Linked DNA regions of Saccharomyces cerevisiae S288C. Changing the gene in region 1 together with any one later gene gives a genetic interaction. Each region holds a gene or a part of one and is shown on either strand. Other genes may lie near its edges. The genes, in order: PUS9 and HRT3.

Region 1 (3,751 bases):
GGATACAAGAAAAAGTTCAATGCTGGGACATCAGACTTTCTCTTGCCAAAATTCTCTAGAATCTCCTTTAGCAATGTATGATAATAAGAACGATAACAGCGACATAACTAGTAACATTAAGGAAAAAGGAGGCATCATCAACAACAACAGTAACAACGACGACGACGACAACAACAACAATAACGATAACGATAACGATAACAATAATAGCAATAATAATAATAACAATAATAATAATAACAATAATAATAATAACAATAATAATAACAATAACAACAACAACAACAATAATAATAATAATAGTAATAATATTAAAAATAACGTTGATAACAATAATACTAATCCAGCCGATAATATTCCTACACTTTCTAATGAAGCATTTACTCCGTCTCAACAATTTTCACAGGAGAGAGTGAATAATAATGCAGACAGATGCGAAAATTCAAGTTTCACCAACGTACAACAGCATTTCCAAGCCCAAACCTACAAACAAATGAAAAAACGTAGGGCACAAATTCAAAAGAATCTAAGGGCAATATTCATTTATCCACTGTCGTATATTGGGATATGGCTTTTCCCCATCATTGCAGATGCGTTGCAATACAATCATGAAATAAAGCATGGGCCTACCATGTGGGTGACATACATTGACACTTGCGTTCGACCATTAAGTTGTCTCGTCGACGTCATTGTTTACCTGTTCAAGGAAAAACCTTGGAACTATTCATGGGCAAAAACAGAATCAAAATATCTCATTGAAAAATATATTCTGAAAGGAGAGCTTGGTGAAAAGGAAATTCTGAAGTTTTGTCACAGCAATTGGGGGAAAAGAGGTTGGTATTATCGTGGTAAGTGGAAGAAAAGAAAATGCTGGAAATATTCTACAAACCCTCTGAAGCGTATACTGTGGTTTGTTGAACGCTTCTTTAAACAATTGTTTGAACTAAAACTACACTTTAGTTTTTATGACAATTGTGACGATTTTGAATACTGGGAAAACTACTATTCAGCCAAAGATTCAAACGATAATAAACGCACAGAATCTGATGAGACTAAAACGAATAGTAGCGATCGCTCCCTTCCATCAAATTCACTTGAACTACAGGCAATGCTTAATAACATCACGGCCGAAGAGGTTGAAGTGCCCTTGTTTTGGAGGATCATTCATCATATTCCAATGCTTGGCGGAATAGATCTTGATGAGTTAAACAGATTGTTGAAAATACGGTACAATAACGACCATTTTTCTCTACCCGGGTTGAAATTTGCATTAAACCAAAATAAAAGTCACGATAAACATCAGGACGTCTCAACTAACAGTATGGTCAAATCCAGCTTCTTTTCAAGCAATATTGTCACAAACGATGATGAGAATAGCATTGAAGAGGATAAGAATTTACGCTATTCAGATGCTAGTGCATCTGAAAATTATCTGGTCAAGCCCACAATACCAGGTACGACTCCTGATCCAATAATTGAGGCGCAGAACGATAATGATAGTAGTGATAGTAGCGGCATAGATTTGATAGCCTTCTTAAGAAATGGACCATTATAAAGTTTTTGTATCGCGATGTTTGAAAATGGAAAGTAAGGAACGTAATACAAATTGACAAGTAGCCGACATGAATGACGCTCACTTCTCTTATATATGTTAGGTAGTATATGCATTATAGAATTTATTCATTGAAGCAATGTGATTCCTCGATAAGTAAGCTTTTTTTCTGTCTGGCGGCGAACCATTAGAGAACAAAAGACCGAGTTAAGAAAAAGTTCATAAAAAACTTTTGAAAATGGATGAGTGCTCGTATAATGGAATAGGAAACTTATGCAAAGAAATAATAGGTTAAGAAATTTGTTTACAGTGCCAGTAATAATGGCTCGACAACTCAAAAGGAATGCATTATCTGCAGGTCTTGCTTTTGCAGGTAATGCAACCTCAAATGAGTTTGATGAACATTTGCAAAATGAGGTTGAAAGAGAGAGGGAAATTCAAAAGAAAAAAAAAATAAAGCGAACTCAATCAAAAAAATCGCCAGATTTGATTAATAAATCTACTTTTCAATCACGAACGATAGGCAGCAAAAAAGAGAAACATAGACAACTAGATCCAGAGTATGAAATTGTCATCGATGGCCCTCTAAGGAAAATCAAGCCCTACCATTTTACGTACAGGACCTTTTGCAAAGAGCGTTGGAGAGATAAAAAATTGGTTGATGTCTTTATATCTGAATTTCGAGATCGTGAATCTGAATATTATAAAAGAACAATCGAAAACGGGGACGTTCATATAAACGATGAAACTGCGGACTTATCTACTGTAATTCGCAATGGTGACCTGATTACGCATCAGGTACATAGACATGAACCTCCAGTCACTTCCAGGCCTATCAAAGTTATTTTTGAAGATGATAACATAATGGTTATTGATAAACCGAGCGGTATACCTGTTCACCCAACTGGCCGATATCGGTTCAATACAATTACGAAAATGCTTCAAAATAATCTCGGATTTGTTGTGAACCCATGTAATAGGTTAGATAGGCTTACAAGTGGATTAATGTTTTTGGCAAAAACTCCGAAGGGAGCCGATAATATCGGCGATCAACTAAAAGCTCGAGAAGTCACTAAGGAATACGTGGCCAAGGTAGTTGGAGAATTTCCAGAAACGGAAGTAATTGTTGAAAAACCTCTAAAACTGATCGAGCCAAGGCTTGCTCTTAATGCAGTTTGTCAAATGGACGAGAAAGGAGCCAAACATGCAAAAACTGTTTTTAACAGAATCAGCTACGACGGTAAAACGAGTATTGTAAAGTGCAAACCGCTTACCGGGCGATCACATCAAATTAGAGTACATTTACAGTACTTAGGCCACCCAATTGCTAACGATCCTATTTATTCCAATGATGAAGTATGGGGTAACAATCTCGGAAAAGGCGGCCAGGCTGACTTCGATATAGTTATTACTAAGCTAGACGAAATAGGGAAAAGAAAACCTGCTAAAAGTTGGTTCCATAGTAATGGCGGGTACGGTGAGGTATTAAGGCAAGAAAAATGTTCTATTTGTGAATCTGATTTGTATACTGATCCTGGCCCCAATGATCTTGATCTGTGGTTACATGCCTATCTATACGAATCAACTGAGACTGAAGAAGGAACCGAAAAGAAAAAGTGGTGCTACAAAACAGAGTATCCAGAATGGGCTCTGAGAAGATAGAGGTTCCTGACTTGTCGGACAATAATACATAGAAAACTGGTCTTCTGTTATAATCAGTCATTGGCCAATCAAAAATGACAGTAACAGAACATCACGCTACAATCTTAATCTTAATTTATAAAAAAGCTAAAATCTTTACAGGAGGAAGACAATGAGATGTGAAGAATGACCACTTCTCCTTTTCTTTTCCATTTCTTTTCTTCCACACTCCTAGTATTCCCGGTAGTATTCTTTTCGCAACCTAAAATTTCACGTAGCAGAGAAAATCGGAGTCTTGAAAGTGTTAACCATAAAATTTCATTGATAAAATGATCTTCGAGGCTTTCTGCTATCCAAATCCACGTTTCTTTTTATTTATTTATTAAAAACCATAAAGTAAAAACTTTGTTAAGGCTTGGAAGCGACCGAGCGCAGACCGCTTGTGTCATCGATTACTCAGATAGGAAATCTTTTATTTATCACCCGCTGAAGCACGCAGCAACAACCGGTTGACCGACGCAATTCTTTGTTTACTTTTCCTTCTACTCATGATCTTCT
Region 2 (3,861 bases), on another chromosome or scaffold:
AAGAAGTGAAAGGCGGGTTCATATGTGTCCAACAAAGGCCATCTATTGAGACTGCAGCTGTCCCTGTTATAACCACTACTGGCGTGGGTTTGGATTCCGGAAAGGCGATGGATCTGCAAAATAGTTTAGACAGTCAATTATCATCCAGTTACCATAGTACAGCGTCCTCAGCATCAAGAAATAGTTCGATAAAACGCCAAGGTTCTTATAAGAGGGGCCAGAATAATATACCACTAACACCTTTAGCGACCAATACACATCAAAGAAATTCATCTATCCCAATGTCTCCAAACTACGGAAACCAAAGTAATGGTACATCAGGGGAACTATCTTCCATGTCATTAGATTATGTTCAACAACAGGATGATATTTTAACAACATCAAGAGCCCAAAATATAAATAACGTAAATGGTCAAACAGAGCAAACCAATACTTCTGGTATAAAAGAAAGGCCTCCTATTAAATTTGAGATTCACATTGTAAAGGTTCGTATCGTCGGCCTAGCAGGTGTACATTTCAAAAAGGTTTCTGGTAATACGTGGCTATATAAAGAATTGGCATCGTATATTTTAAAAGAATTAAACCTATAGATACGTTGTTCTTACTAAATATTTCAACGTGTGTCTTTCAATTTTTATTATCTAATATTTATCTTTTTTTAATATTATAGTATAATTTATTTAAGCTGAGATCTGCTTTCTTTAATCTTTCATATGATGAAATAATAGTTCTACATAAATCTATAAGAATAATAAATAAAGTAAAACAACTGCAAAAAACATCGATGTCATCCAGGATCCTTGAAAGATTTCACTCTGGAGAAGAAAAAAGATTTCTCATTTCTCAACGAACAGTTAGATGCATTCCCTTCCTTATCCACTACAATTGAACTTAGCCATTTCAACCGTTGATATCTCTTATTGCCTTGATTCTTGATTTGGAATTCTTCGATAAACGTATACTTTTCATCTGACCTTGTTATCTTTAAATGACCAAAATCATAATCAAATCCGAGGCTCCAATAACACATATGACTATGCCTGGGTTTGTTCTCTTTGGAGAAGTGCTTCACGACAGCGCTAGGTTCATCTGTAGAAAGTAATCTCAAACATTGGCCGTTCTCATAAAATCTGAAATACCTGTAATAGGTGATCATGTGAACTGGCTTTAAAAGAGATAACGAACTTTCTGCATTGGAACCGTATCTTACATAATTTACTACACTGATGTAAACACCTTCGAATTTAATATATGGCCTTTCCCTTAACATACGATAATCATCACCCCGCCATATTTCCTTTTCAAAGGTATTTATATCGGTGATTCCGTTAAGATCCATTGCCATTTTGTCGTATATTTGCTTAGAATATATGTACTTCGCGAAAGTTTTAAATGGCACAGAATCGTGGAAGCAAAGCTTGCTAAAGGTGGAACAAGTCATCGACAAATTCACCCAAGATTCACCAGACATTAATATAACTTTTTTAATAATTCTCAGTAAAATGTCGTCAGGCAAGATTTCCAGAATCCAGCAGGGTTGAAGTTCAGCATTTTCTTCAACAGATAAGTCATCTTTACCGGTTTCATTTTGTTCATCTGGAGCATCAGTAGTCATTGATAATCCCGATAGTTTTTTGTGCAGCATCCACTCATCAAGTATTTTTTTTCTGTACAGTGATTCCACATTATCATGGATTTTCAATGCACTTCGATAGAAGTTTATAGCATCTGACATTGACCCATCCTTCTCTTTCAGTACACCTTTTTCCCAAATAGCAATAGCCTCTTTAGCCCTAGGGTCCTTTTCATAATCTACTATCATTTGCTCCTTGAGTTTAGCTTATGGAACACATGTGTCGTCGCCAAAGATGATGGGGAATGTTTGCTTTTATCTTGCTCAGTCGATTTCGCTATCTAGGAACTACAATCCTTTTTTTTGTCATTTGGAAGGCTCTTTAAAATTCCGAATCGATAAGTTCGGAGGTGGGAAAGGATAGCGGTATATTCCTTCCCAAATAAAAAGGCTACAAACACATTACATAAAGAATATTTGTTCAAGTAAACATATCCTCTTCACTCAAGATTACTTCGACAAACCATCATTGGTGTTTCCACCAATCAGCATATCAATCTCATTCAATAAAGTAAAGTCAAAATTGTACTCTAAGGCAAAATCGTTACCGTGAGATAGAGTCCCTAATAAATCCATAGTTTCTGAATTATGCAAAGCATCTTCAGAGTTTTCTATGAATTTTCTAGCAAGTTCGTAATTCAGGGTAGGCGCACTTAAAAAATTTAAGAAGTCTTGTTTTCTATCCTTTTTAATCAAGTTGGACTTCATGCATTGGATGGCTAAAATCGCAGAATAAATCATGTAAATTGTGGCCTTCTCAAACGTCTTAAATTTATTTTTCCAAACTTTTAAAAGATAATACAGTTCATCAACATAACCTTCAACCAATTCCCGGCTTTGTTTGATTTCGTATATGAAAGGTTTATTATAGGAAATTAGCACGATATAGTAATGAAACCATACGTAAGCTATGGTTGGGTTAAAATCTGTCATTTCCATCAATGACCTCTTGGTCCATTGTAGTTCAGGGGGCAAATCCCTTCTCCAATTGTATACCTCCAGATTAAATTTGGCCAAGTATTCACTCCTTTGAAGTAGAGTTTCGTTTGGGCTGAAAATCTTGGATGCAAAAATCTCCGTTATTCTCGATAACACAATCAGTTTCTTCAAGGGGTTTGCAGTGGACAATATTACTTTTGGGTCATATATGTACTCCTCTATACCAGTCTCAATTTCAGGTAGCTCGTCTGTTTCTGGAACAGTGGAATTGGACAAACGCAAGGAAGTTGATCTTCCAAAGAGGATCGCTATTAAATGATCAGCAATGTAGCAGCCCCAATAAATTCTACTTCTCACTTCAAAATCCATTATTGACAGCTCGTCTTCATAAACATTACTCCATGCTTCTGGATTCAAATGTAGGCCGATTTCGTGGGCAATCCTAAATGCCAGCCCAGAAAGATACCAAGCCATGGGGTTTTCTCCGCTTCCAATGTCATAAAATGCCAAACACAATAGAGTCTGGATGATTGCTAATTTCGAAGAGGACGACGATTCAGCTAACGAAGAATCTTCCAGTTGAAAAATTTTTTTGAGTACTATCGTCTTGGCTCTTTGATAAAACACTTCAGATTGTTGAAAAAGCTCAGTTTCTGATTTGTATGAAATCAAAGATCCCAATGCAGCGATTGCAAATACCAATTCTTCGGAACAATAGTAACTTTTAGTGTTAGTATCACCGAAGAAAGCACTTAAGAAAGTTTCTCTATGAATGAAAAGGTAATGTCCCGGGTATAGCCATTTGAAAAAGAGTGACAACGATCTTAAGATAAGGGGACTTCTTGATAAATTTTTTAGGCTGACCTGCTGTTGCTGATATCTTGTGCTTCCATCCGTCTTCTTTTTTATTATAGACAAGGAATTTGATGGATATATACTATTTGTGCCAACTGGTGGAGGGCTCTCGGAAGGCATTTTCTTGGTGAACGCATCAGACTCATTCTCATCGTTGCTTTCAGATGATGGTAGTGCTGATTGTGCTGTTTCGCCATACTTTAAGATTTTTTCATTAGGAGCATCACCATGATCACTGTTGTTTTTTAACGAGGAGAGAGCATTGCTAGCAATTGTGGAAGACGAGGAACTTAATATTTGCAACTGTTCTTTCAAAGACCGAATCTGGCTCTGTAAAGCTTCTACGTAAGTCGTAGAATATCTTTTGTTCCTTAAGTCTTGTTGAGTGAATACACATTCGGTACGAAACTTGATACAGTTTGAACAAGGCTTTT

What was found.
Region 2: mutations in PUS9 (region 1) and HRT3 together harm fitness more than expected from each alone (negative genetic interaction), as found in Saccharomyces cerevisiae (one large-scale study listed by BioGRID).

Annotation. Positions count from the first base shown.
Region 1 is NC_001136.10:386,976-390,726, reverse strand, and holds PUS9 (pseudouridine synthase PUS9), read left to right. Parts: upstream 1-1,825; coding exon 1,826-3,214; downstream 3,215-3,751. Other genes in the region: GPR1 (Gpr1p), read left to right, coding at 1-1,555. UniProt on the Saccharomyces cerevisiae protein: Responsible for synthesis of pseudouridine from uracil-32 in mitochondrial transfer RNAs.
Region 2 is NC_001144.5:335,444-339,304, forward strand, and holds HRT3 (SCF ubiquitin ligase complex subunit HRT3), read right to left. Parts: upstream 1,823-3,861; coding exon 788-1,822; downstream 1-787. Other genes in the region: serine/threonine protein kinase KIN2, read left to right, coding at 1-590; CHA4 (Cha4p), read right to left, coding at 2,084-3,861. UniProt on the Saccharomyces cerevisiae protein: Substrate recognition component of a SCF (SKP1-CUL1-F-box protein) E3 ubiquitin-protein ligase complex which mediates the ubiquitination and subsequent proteasomal degradation of target proteins. Probably recognizes and binds to phosphorylated target proteins.